Schizosaccharomyces pombe: one gene and its partner. The gene in region 1 interacts genetically with each later gene. Each region holds a gene or a part of one and is shown in the gene's direction. Other genes may lie near its edges.

Region 1 (6,396 bases):
AGTCCTTTAAATTGTTTCGGTCGATAGGATTGATTCATGGAGAAAACATATGGGAAAACTGTATTGCCATTGAGCAGAGTAAAGAGGATAATAAAGCAAGATGAAGACGTACACTACTGTTCTAATGCATCTGCTTTGTTAATTTCAGTAGCTACTGTATGTGTGTTGTTGATAAATCAGCTATCTGGGCGACTTAGCACCATTTTGATTGCATAAAAGAAAAAGAAAAATAAAAGCTTACCTATTTTATGATTTAGGAATTATTTGTTGAAAAGTTAGCAACAGAGGCTTATCAACTTGCCAAATTACAAAAACGTAAAGGAATACGATACAGGGACGTTGAGGACGTTGTACGTAAGGACGATCAATTTGAATTTTTATCAGATTTGTTTTCTATATAATTAAAAAGTGTGAGAACTGGAAAACGGAAGCTTAAGTGTTTCCTTTCTTGTTCAGAAACTTCCTCATGAAATGAAAGGAAACAATCATCTTGTCAGTAAAATGTGATTTAATGAATTTTATTTGAGTTTTCTTCTTCGTTTTCATGCTCTTGTGTCTTTTTATCCACAATGCGCATTTTCAAACAGCTTTATCAAACAACTACTGTAGCTATTTGGATAAAATAGAACACATGTTCTCTTAAATTGGGTTACCTGATTTTTCATGTTTCAATCATGACTAATTTGCGGCCTTTGTTAGCTACATCTATAAACAATCTTAATGATTAGGAAATGGTTAAACGTTTGAACTCGATTGAAAGATATTGAAAAGCTACCAGCGCCCATCTGTATATTCTTCATTTAATTCCTTTCTCAATATCATTTGGTTCATTTATTTAAACAAAAATGCAGAGAAGGTCGAGCTTCTTTATCTAATCCCAGCGATGCAGACGTATTGCTTGCTTCATGGTTATATTCTATACCTCCGCTACCTTGCCGTGATAATGCCGTAATCGTACATTACTATACTCGAAAACTGATTTAAGATTTGTTCTGTTCTAAATTTCCGACTACCGAATGAATTACGACACTCCACCTTGTTTCGTTAATACTACTCCATTACTAACAATTGCGCAAATACTGAAAGCAAACCAGAACCAAGTAGAAAAAATGTCGGTTTACTCATTTTCAGACGTTAGTTTAGTTGCAAAGGCACTTGGTGCATTCGTTAAAGAGAAAAGTGAAGCTTCTATTAAAAGGCATGGCGTGTTCACTTTAGCTCTTAGTGGAGGAAGTTTACCAAAGGTTTTGGCTGAAGGATTGGCTCAACAGAGAGGTATCGAGTTTTCCAAATGGTAAGTTAACAGATATTATATACTTTTGAGTTGTATGGATTCACTGTGGTTTTGTTTAGCTTTGGTTGACGTGAAACACTCTGTCTTAAGGCAATTTATGATTAACAGCTCTATTTAGGGAAGTTTTCTTTGCTGATGAAAGAATTGTTCCTTTAGATGATGAAAACTCAAATTATGCGCTCTGTAAAAAGTTGATTTTTGACAAGTTTGAAGGATTTGACCCTAAAAAAATTCATACCATCAATCCTGAGCTTTTGAAAGAAAATCCTATTGACCCTCAGAATGTTGCTGATGAATATGAAAAACAATTAGTGCATGTGTTTGCAAATAGCTCCACTGTTAAGGTCCCTGTGTTTGATTTACTGCTGTTAGGATGCGGTCCTGATGGCCATACATGTTCTCTATTCCCCGATCACGAGGTACTCCAGGAAGACGTTGCTTGGGTGGCCCCAGTCACTGATTCGCCCAAACCCCCTAAAGACCGCATCACTTTGACTTTACCGGTTGTCACACATGCTCAAGCCATTGCCTTTGTTACCACAGGTGCTGGTAAGAAGGATATTTTGCCTATTGTCATTGAGGATTTTACATCTAAACTTCCAAGTGCGCTGATCACTCGAAACAATTTGACTCGTACAAGCTGGTTTGTGGATGATGAAGCATCAGCCAATCTTGAGAGATCCTCTTTGAAGGTTTTCCCTCAATAGGCAGTTCAATTTAAGCAGGTGGCCTTTAGAATGCTTAATTGCTACATGCTTCGGATTCATTACTTGTTTCTTTAAGGTCTTTCAAGGGAAAGGTTGCAGTTCTCTTTTGTTGTTCGTGAGATTCTTTGCATAAACGCTTTAGATAATGACTTTCAAAATGCTTTCAGTCACTTCCGTGGAATGCTTGATGACCAGTTTTAACACATGTTAGTAGATTAGGAGAGAACTTGTTCCTCAAATCCTCTTTGCATTTGTTGTCTGTTTTTTATTTTAGACTAGCGTATAAAGGTTAGTCTTGTAAACAATGTGTAAGAAGCTAATGCTTTATTAAATTGTTTTATTGCTTCGTTTAGAATCATGTTTAGTTGATTGATATCACTGGCCAAACCCACACTGCAGAAATATGATGTTTTAATGAAGAAATGAATCATTGAAATATATAAACTTAAGCTATCTTGTATCATTTTTTGTTGGTGATAATGTTCTAAAATGTGTTTCATCAACAAGATAAAGTAAACCAATTGTTTTTGAATTGCAGTGATATAGTTTAGCTTCAATTCTTTTATTAAATCATTAATTCATTTTTAAAATTATGCAAAATTACGGCATTTTCTCATACTGCTTATGATAGATTTTAAGCAAAGATGGAAATTTATATCCAAAAACATGCAATTGCTTAAACTCTCCTTTATGTAAGGGTTTATTAATACTTATGTGTTTTCTACAGATGGCAACCTTCTGATTAATTATCATTAGGTTAATTTGTGATAGAAGCTGTAGTGATCTTAATTACAATAGTTTACATTATAGCAAGATGTTCGACATGACTCAATAGACTAAAAATTTTTTTTCTTAGCATATTCTTCAAAACTGTAGGTCTTAAAAACAGTTTTGTTAGCTTAACATCACCTTAAGTCGTTAGTCATCGTAGAGGAGGCACTTGATATTTCCATCGCACAACATGAACTACCAAAGGCTTGAAAAGTTAGGTAAGTATGAGTTTGAGGTCCCAAAATTTGCAATTTCATTAACTTAAGTAGGAGAGGGAACATATGCGCATGTTTATAAGGGGCAAAATCGAGTGACTGGTGAAATTGTCGCTCTCAAAGTTATTCGTATTGATGCAGATGAAGGAACACCTAGTACTGCTATCCGTGAGATTAGTCTTATGAAGGAGCTTAGGCATCCCAATATTATGTCTCTCTCAGACGTTTTGCAAACCGAAAATAAGCTTATGCTCGTTTTTGAATATATGGAAAAAGATTTGAAAAAGTACATGGACACTTATGGGAACCAAGGAGCTCTTCCACCTTCTCAAGTAAAAAATTTTACTCAACAATTACTCAAAGGGATATCTTTTTGTCACGAAAACCGAGTTCTACATCGTGATCTGAAACCTCAAAATTTGCTTATCAACAGTCGTGGTGAATTGAAATTGGCGGATTTTGGGTTAGCCCGTTCAATTGGAATTCCAGTGAATACTTTTTCAAACGAAGTGGTCACCTTATGGTATCGTGCTCCTGACGTTCTTTTGGGTTCTCGAGTATATTCAACTTCCATTGATATTTGGTCAGTTGGTTGTATCATGGCAGAAATGGCTACAGGACGTCCTCTATTTGCTGGGTCAAATAATGAGGATCAGCTACTAAAAATCTTCCGATTATTGGGAACTCCTACTGAACAATCATGGCCCGGAATTTCTTTACTTCCTGAATATAAGCCTACTTTCCCTATTTATAAAGCACAAGATCTCGCCTACCTATTTCCAACATTTGATCCTCTTGGTTTGGATTTGTTACGACGGATGCTTCGTCTACAACCTGAATTAAGGACGACCGGCCAGGATGCGCTTCAACATGCTTGGTTTTTAACCGCATAGGCTGTAAATTAACATCAAAAAGTTTAACCAAATTACGATTTTATTTATTCATTTCAGTTTCCTATTGAAATCATTAATTTTTTTTTTGGAAAGAATGCATTTCACCTAGGGAAAGAGCACAATATTTTTGGACGTTCAAATTTCTTCGCAACTGTTTTAGCCCAAGTAGCTATCCCTATTGATCTTTTTTAAACGAGGTTTAGAGGTAAATATTTGGTTATTATTTTGAGAGGATTTGAAGCTGTCGAATATATTTTTAGCCAAGAATTAAACGGCGTTTTATTTTCTACGATTAAAATATCGTCGCTGATGACATTCAAGTCGTAAATGAAATACTTAAAGAATTGAATGATCCGCATTGCGTCTGACATTTTTATGAAGGAGCAAAAGGATAATATTCAAAAAGCAATGCGGGTTTTTAGTATACTGATAATAATTTGCGGATTTCAAGCAATTATCCGCAATGCACATGAAAAACAATCTTTTTTCACTTATTTTTATTAGTGGATTAATGGCTTCCTTCCCTATTATTTAACTGCATGAAGGGATTCTCTATTAATGTTCTCTTTAACCATTCGACATTTTATGTGGTTTCTGTCGTTCATTATTCTTTTTATTTACTTTCATCTATACTCCATCTTTTCAGTTTTGAGGCATCAATGGTAGGAGGTGACTAAATTTCTTTGAGTTTCGTTTAGGAAGAAGGTTCAATTTGTAAACATGAAATAATAATTGTGTCTTTTACAATTTCTTTTGAGTTTTTCTACTCGCTTGGCCCAGCAATCTATTGTTTAAGGAGATATACGGATTTGGCTTATCGTATTTTTACGACATCTTCTACCTCGCCAAATCTTTTAGTTTTACCCATACTGCTAGAATTTACATTACATGAAAAAATGACTGATACGCGAAAATTCAAAGCTACTGATTTATTTTCATTTAACAATATAAATTTAGATCCTCTAACGGAGACCGTAAGTTACCATCTACCGTACTTAAAGCGGACTTTCATTAACTCGAACAACTTTTAGTTCAATATTTCATTTTATCTCAGTTATTTGAACAAATGGCCTAGCTTGTGTGTTGTACAAGAGTCTGACCTATCTGATCCAACCCTTATGGGTTATATTATGGGGAAATCAGAAGGAACCGGTAAAGAGTGGCATACTCATGTTACCGCCATTACAGTAGCGCCAAATTCCCGTCGTTTAGGCCTTGCTAGAACGATGATGGACTACTTAGAAACTGTAGGAAATTCTGAAAACGCTTTTTTTGTTGACCTGTTTGTGCGTGCCAGCAATGCACTTGCAATTGACTTTTACAAAGGATTGGGGTATTCGGTTTATAGACGAGTTATTGGGTACTATAGTAATCCACATGGAAAGGATGAGGATTCATTTGATATGCGGAAACCACTTTCGCGAGATGTTAATAGAGAAAGCATTCGAGAGAATGGGGAAAATTTCAAATGCAGCCCAGCTGATGTTTCATTTTAGTTCACTCTCTTTTTACAAATCTATTAACTAGTGCAAAGGAAGAAGATTTTTTTTTATATTAGGTAAATGGTATAGTATGTACATCATATTAATGAAAATCAAAGTTCAGAAACGACTAATATTTGCTATGCTTTAAGACCTCGGTCCTTTTCCTTGCTTACATATTGATATTGTAAGTATTTGAAGTTTTTGATTAATGATTATGCAACTCTTTGGAACATTTTGATAATTTATCAATAAAATAATGTATCACTACACAATGGTTGAAATTTGCGTTCAGTTTCCTTTAGATAAATAGCAAATCGTCTACTAGTTACTTTATTTCTCTAATGTGAAATGGCAAACTAAATAACTTCTATTTATGTTAGCAATAAATCAATGAATGACTATACTACCCACTTCCATTCAGTCCTCTATACTTGCAAAATGAAAGACAAAACTATGTAAATACATGTAAAACATATCTTTACCAAAAATCGTAGCTACACGATCATCTGACTTAACAACTTTGCAAAAACAATTCACCACAGAAATATTTTTTTTAAACAAGTAGTAAGTAATTGCCAGCAATAACTTTTAACGTGAATTATTTTTTTAAAAGTAAAACTATCTGAAAAAAAATTTACATCATGAGCTTACAATATCAAAAGTTAAATAAAGAAATAAGAAAATATTCGAAGATTAAAAAGACGCCAGTTCAACGAAAAGAGAAGAGGCCTTTTATTTCAACCTTCTACTATATCGGTTGATTGAAAATTGACCAGAGAATTGAATGTATCTAACAGATCAGAGTGTTTCAACCTTTGTCCAACAACGGACTTTATACTGATAAATTTCACTTCATGGTTTTATTCAACCAAGTTCTTATACAAAAAGCACCTCTACAATTAAATCAGAAATCACACGCAACTTTACAGAAAATTGAGAAGGTCACAAATGAGTTATTTTATATCAAATTACGATTGATTTACTCTTGGGGGATCTCAATTTCGCCATTGTCGATCTCCTTTTGAACGTCGT
Region 2 (6,651 bases), 1.4 Mb from region 1:
AGTGAGACCGTTAATATAGCATGCAACGTGTGCTCAATATAGGCGTTGGTAGTATATTTTGTTTTAATTCGAATTTGAAATGTCATGAAAAAGATTGATAAACTAAAAAGTCTGTAAATTTGAAACCGCAAAAAATTGTATATACTTGCTTAACGTCTTCTAGGGGGTCGAGGTCTCGAAAAACCAGTTTTGGTGGTGCTTGTTTCTGCTTGAGGACTTGATATCCCAGCAGCATGAAGAATTTCCTTTTCAGTTATATCAGCGGCATCATTCGATTCAATCTGTCATGTGAGCATAAAATCTACTACGAGGGATAAACATACCTTGCCATCAATAACAATACCCAATTCTGCTTTAATACTATCCAAAAGACCAAGTTTGGAAGAAGAATAAACCATTCGATGTTTGACAGTTGCTTGCATTGGACAAATGTATATAAACACTAGACCTTGTTAATAAAATGATCCTGCATCTGTACTTACAAATTTTTGAAGAGCCGTCTTTTGGCAGGGAATAGAAAGCGAAATTAGGTTCGGTGGAAGAAAAGAAGGATTTCACATCAGAAGGAGGTATATTTTGCTTTTCTTGACTTAAACTTATGACTTCTTTGTCAATAGACTTTTAAAGGAGGTTAGCAACACCATACATAGCAAAAGTATCATAGCTTCCTTACCAAAATAACAAGATTGTTTTCTGTAGATGATTTTAAATCAGAAAGAGCCTTTAAGGCTTTATCATCAATCGACATAGCAACACCACGGGTCACCAAAGGACGCTTATGAGTTACTGAGGATTGCATAGACTACATAGTTGTTAAAATAGATGCAAATAAAAGAGTAGAAGCTATAAATTCTACGAGCCACGGTAAAGAAGTATGAAAAATCCATCCACCCCAATACAGTTTACCTACCTCATTGTACTCTTTCCTTTCGAGTTCATCTTGTCGTAAAGGACTTTGGTCCTCTTGCTTGCTTAAGCTCTTCATAATTTGCTGATAATCTAACTCTTCCGGAGTACTTGCGAAATAAGACTCGTCGAGTTTAGCAAGAGTTACGCATCTTACAAATGCAGCACGACTAGAGGCATATAACATCTTCCTGCGAACATTCGCATTTTCAGGGACATAGGAAATTAATTGTAATAGATTTTTCTTGCTATCATCATAAACGAGGACAAATGCAGGTTCTTCAGATCCGAGCAAACATTCACGGACTTTCTTAAAATCAGATTCTATCGATTCTGATTTTTCAACCATTGTTTTCACGTCAAATGAATTCTCTAAATCATTTAGTAACTTCAACTAACTTAAAATTTACTCTTCTAGCCCGAATGGAAACTTACCATTAGAAATGCTAATAATGGCGGCGCGAACCGGTACCGAAGAGTACTCCTCGAGAAATTTACTGAACTTCTCTGTAGCTATCCACACGTTAGAAGAATTTAGCCAAATTTCTTACGTTTTAATTCGACGGAAGCAGACATTGTTATGGGGATTGAAAGGTTTACTGCGTCAGCAATTCCCCATTCTAAGTGAGTTAAATTGAATTATAACGAAATCCAAAGAAATCTATTAAAACATATTAACGATAGCAACAGAGTCTCTAAGAAATATTACAGTACTTAACGAAGCGTGTAATGTACGCTGGTAAAACAGGTGGTAGTGCTAGCCATAGCGAAACGTCGATTGCCTTTACCAAGTGGTCTTTACCGGATTAGTAAACAAAGCCGAAATTTGGAGATTTACTTGGCGTAAATTGACTAAGTTTAAACAATGTACTTGAAGAGAAATATTATAAATATGCAGAGGTCTTTTTCGCGTCAATTTCACATTTCTGTACGAAATTCCATTCAATCCTCTAAACCCTTGTCTAACTCGACTCCTCTAAAAGGTACAGAATTAAAAAATGAAAATGAATTATCTAGGGATATTAAATATAAATAAAAAAATTACCTTTGATGTACATGATTGCTAACATATCTTAGGTTGTTCAGTGGGTACAATTTTAATTAGATCGCCAATTCTTACTCGCCAACCATCCGAATTCGAAAAATCTATATATAAATATAATGCGGAACTTTGGAATGAGCTGAGTGATCCTTTACCTGCAGAATTTTATTTCAAGAAGGGATCGGTGGGTGAAAAAGATTGGCAAGAACGACAAAAAACACTAAAAGGTAAAGAATCACCCTTTGAGACGATATTTGGAAAGGAAAGGAAAGAGATGGAGTCTAACAAATTATTGGATTCTGCAACTCACTTGCAATCCAGAGTCACAGAAGCTGATACGAAAAACGATGAGCGAAGCACTCTTCGCTCGCTTGACAAGTCCCTTTACTTGTTGGTAAAAAAATCTAAAAGCTCGGGTTGGCAATTTCCTAACACTCCTGTTACAAGCTCCGAGAAGGCGCTGCATCTGGTAAGTACATTTTTTAAAATTCGATTCCAAGATACACAATATAGTGCAAGAGACTACTTACTATTGATTTGATGCTAAATAATTTATCAAATACTCTTGCAATTTTTGTTTACATAGTCTGCAGATTGGCCTTTCTAACAAACTGTAGTTATGTCAAGATCTTTTAAAAAATATATTAGACGAAAATTCGTTGACTTGGCTAGTTGCACGTCATCCATTAGCATTACTAAAAACGGAACAAGAAAAGGTAAGACTACGGATTTTTTGTTCTCATTTTATCTGGGTTGATTTTTTGTTTAACCAGTTATTTCTAGACCTTCTTGTTACGTGCTCGTTTATTAAATGGATTAGATGTACCTAACCTGCAAAACGTTTATGACTGGGTTTGGTGTACGTACGATGAACTGAAAAACAAACTTTCTCCTTCTTCATGGGATTCTGTAAAAAACATACTTTCCGATCGTTTGTAATCTTCAATTGAGCAAACAATATGTAAAATCTACGGAAAATAAACAGCGGAACATTTCATCTTGGAAATTCAATCTTTCTACAATCTTACTGCATTTTTCAGCTTAATTTTCACGTTTTCTATTTTTTTCTCTCCTTAATTTTTGATGTTTTGGTACGATGTAAAAAAAAACAAATAATTTTGGAATTTCACTAAGTATTTCTCCTTATTTATTCTATCTTTTTATTTGCAAATGATTCTGCCAGTATTTTATTTTCAGCCGCCTACTTTTGGAGTCCGGATTTCATGATTACTCACCCTCATGATCTGTGGATTCTTGGCAGTGTACGAGAAAACGGGAAAAGCGCGCACCTTAATAATAAACTATGTTTAGCTCAAGGGACCTAAAAAAATAGAATTGTTAATCAAAATTGATATCCGTAGTTTGTCCTCAATTCCAAGATCAAAAATTCTTTTGTCAGTCATAGTCTAGCCCTTAAAGACAATGTCTGTATAATTTAGTAATTATCAGAAATGATATGTGTCAGCATAATCCTTTGAAAGTTCATTAGAATGCAATTATAGACTTTGCTTTCTGGAAGCATTAAACCGTACATACACTTGACTTACAGATTTAGTCCCACTACAAAGGAATTGACAAAGGGCAACTTTGTAGAATTCTGTTTATAAACTCGGTTCTTATCAATAAAATGTTAACAGAACAACAGACTTTGGAGTTATTTCCAGAAAATTGGGAAAGAAATGAGCAAGTTTTGTTGAAATACCCGGATGGGTTACCCAAAGATGTACTCGCTGATCAAAGAGTTGATAATACAGAATCACAGGTAAAGGATGAAATAACTTCTAACATTACGAATCAAACTCAAATTTTACTACCTGCTGATTCCTTTCCTCAGTATGGGTCATATCCTAACAATTCAGAACTCGATTATGTTGTATGCACAAAATGCGACCGACCCTTCCTATCAGAGTATATTGAGGACCATCATAGCTCATGCAATGGAATTAAACCTCCTAAGCCTCAATTTGAGCCTGTTGCGAATTCTCAGGTTTTAAACAAAGATGTCAACAATGGCAATAATGCACCCATCAAAAATGGTGTTAAATCGACAGCTAAGGGCTCAGCTGGGAATCATGAAAAGAATTCAGTTAATGGTCAAAAGAATCCTGAAATGCCTCCAAAACGTCGGAAGACAGAAGAAAACAAAAAGCCTACAAAATCCGCCCTTCCCAAGAAAGAGGCTAGCAAGAAGAAGAATCCAAAGGTCAAAGGTATGTTGGTTTATGCTGTTCAATATGGAGAATGGAGTACCTGTTTACTTTAATACTAACATTCAATTAAGGTCCTGTGGATGTTGAAAAGCAATGCGGTGTTTTGCTTCCTAATGGGCAAATGTGCGCCAGATCTCTCACATGTAAAACGCATTCAATGTCAAGCAAACGAGCCGTTCCGGGAAGATCTCAGCCATACGATGTTTTGCTTGCAGCTTGTCAAAAGAAAAACCAAGTAAAAATACAACGACAAATCCTCGAAACTGCAAAAGAATCCGAAGATAATCAGCATCAAGCGCCTGTTGATTCTGATGAAGAAGTCAGTTTCATTATGAATGTTCTCCAGAAATCTGGCAATCAGCCTTTGGAGCAAAAAGTTTTTTTACCCGTAAAACGTCGCCATTCGTATTTTCGTACTAGAGAGTTAATAGCTGCTGCATTTCGACATGGTGAGCAGGGTATGCAAGTTACTGGTACTATATTGGGACGAGTGATTCCTTTTAGTGCCCGCCAACCACTATAAAGAAATTCTTTTGATTTTGCTTCGGTTGATGATTTAAATTCTTTATGAGATTATAGTTTACATTTTGGTCTACTTGACCACGCATTTTCGACTTTTTAATTTTCTCCTCCGTTCATCTAGTTTCTATTTCATTAATTTTTTCATTTTTTATTTTGTATATTGCACCATACGGTCTTAACATTTGGAATAATCAAGTAGAAGTTAATAAACTATAAAAATACCAATAGAACCCAAAACCAATAATCAATTCTAAAAAAAAGAAAGAAACAAGTATTCTCCAAAAATATATGTACACGTTTGTAGTCTAATTTTTTAAAAGAAACAGCAAAGTTTATGGTATCAGTTTGTTGCAAATCCTCAGTCTCACAATCAATCCTTTAGCCCTCTAAATCATCCTTGTTTTCAGCCGAATCTTCTTCTTCATCGCTAGAAAGAACATCAGGCAATTTTGAGGAAACCTCTTGCGTCTTTTCAGTAATGCCTATATCTGATAAATAACTGAAATCTTCTTCATTATAACTGTCAATAAAAGACAAAAAACAATGAAATCTAAACCGGTTAGTTAATTTAAGAAAAAAATATACTTACACTTGTTTACGAGCTTCTTCGAGAAAAATTTTATCATAAATATGAGCATGCTTAAAAGCAGTAATTTTTTGCTCGTACTTTGTAAAGTCGATAGGATCACGATTATTCTCTGGAGCTTTATGTTCATTATAACCTTTAAAAAACGGTGACTCTAATAAAAGTCCAAAACCAGGTCCCTTGGGTATGTTAATTTTTGTTTTTTTAAAGGCATCTTGTATGCGCTCAACAGGACAACCCGTTCGTACAACTAAAATAGCAAGCGCAATCATCTTTCTAATTTGGTGCAACATAAAAGATTGACCATGAACTTTACATGAAATCCATTCTGTATCGCCAATCATGAATGGATCAGATGCCTAGAATGTTAGAAACAAGACTTGTCAAGAATACTATAAATACAAAGAAGATAATTCTTACTTACAGTAAAAGAACGGATCACGCGATTACTATTCTTCTGATGAAATGCTTGCCCCACAGTAAAATTGTGAAAGTTATGAACTCCAACATATTGGTTTAAAGTTTCTCGAATAACGGACAGCCTATCTGCGGAAATACGGTAATTTTTTAATTTAAGTACTTCAATGTGCTTAAGTGCACGTTCGAGACGATAACTGGGATCAATCTTGGAACCAGCAGATTCGTCTTCAACAGAGTCAGGCTTTAAAAACTCGTTTACAATAGCAGAGGAATCGGAATCCATATCTGGATTAGTTTTAGCGGAAACTCCTGCTTCAGAGCCCTTATTATTTTCCGAATTAGCAAGAGCAGCAGCTCCCCTTTTAGAATATGGATTTACGAAGCCTTCAGGATCCTGTTCATAAAGGCTCAAAATCTCTTTGGCTGCAATATCATAATCATCCCAAAATTCCTTTCCTTCTTCATAAAATAATGAACGACTGAGTTGATTTATATTTTCCTTGTTAATTGGCTCAGCAGGCATGGGAGAATTCTTCATAATGCAATTTCCAAGTATGGACGAAGGTTTCGGTGGAACAAAAGCATACGTTGGAACCATATATTCATATATACGAGATTCGCAATAAGTCCTTGGGTTAAAAGAATTAATAGTACGGATCACATCCCATAAGCGAATGGAAGGAGGGAGGTGTTCGTTCACTTTTTCAATTAACTTCTCATCTTCCATTATAAGTTTGAGACTGATAACATTTCCAGCGGCATGAACTCCTTTATCAGTTCTTGCGGCTCTTGCTAAAGCAACTTTCTTTGGGTCATCAGCGTTATAAGAAGAAACGGCACCAGCCTTCACAAAAGCATCAAAAAGATCTCCTTCGATTGTTTTACTAGGAGGATTCAATTGCATACCATGATATCCGCTACCACAATAACCTACAAGACAGGCGACCTTTCTTTTCGGCTTTTTT

The links. A genetic interaction does not mean that the proteins touch.
Region 2: mutations in pef1 (region 1) and sgf73 impair growth when combined (synthetic growth defect), as found in Schizosaccharomyces pombe (2 studies listed by BioGRID, with this or other methods).

The regions. Positions count from the first base shown.
Region 1 is NC_003421.2:684,792-691,187, forward strand, and holds pef1 (cyclin-dependent protein kinase Pho85/PhoA-like Pef1), read left to right. Parts: upstream 1-2,943; 5' UTR 2,944-2,962; coding exon 2,963-2,990; exon of another isoform or gene 2,991-3,041; coding exon 3,042-3,880; downstream 3,881-6,396. Other genes in the region: DNA polymerase epsilon Dpb3, read left to right, coding at 37-156, 258-401; pgl1 (6-phosphogluconolactonase), read left to right, coding at 1,110-1,294, 1,413-2,001; NatB N-acetyltransferase complex catalytic subunit Naa20, read left to right, coding at 4,777-4,854, 4,912-5,376; rpl1201 (60S ribosomal protein uL11), read right to left, coding at 6,344-6,396.
Region 2 is NC_003421.2:2,120,781-2,127,431, reverse strand, and holds sgf73 (SAGA complex deubiquitinating submodule subunit Sgf73), read left to right. Parts: upstream 1-3,501; 5' UTR 3,502-3,575; coding exon 3,576-4,158; intron 4,159-4,229; coding exon 4,230-4,681; 3' UTR 4,682-4,922; downstream 4,923-6,651. Other genes in the region: twf1 (twinfilin), read right to left, coding at 150-281, 324-442, 483-618, 674-802, 911-1,278, 1,342-1,419, 1,458-1,482; mrpl17 (mitochondrial 54S ribosomal protein mL46), read left to right, coding at 1,772-1,889, 1,984-2,417, 2,566-2,664, 2,732-2,887; pus1 (tRNA/U2 snRNA pseudouridine synthase Lsp1), read right to left, coding at 5,059-5,230, 5,270-5,625, 5,691-6,651. UniProt on the Schizosaccharomyces pombe protein: Component of the transcription coactivator SAGA complex. SAGA acts as a general cofactor required for essentially all RNA polymerase II transcription. At the promoters, SAGA is required for transcription pre-initiation complex (PIC) recruitment.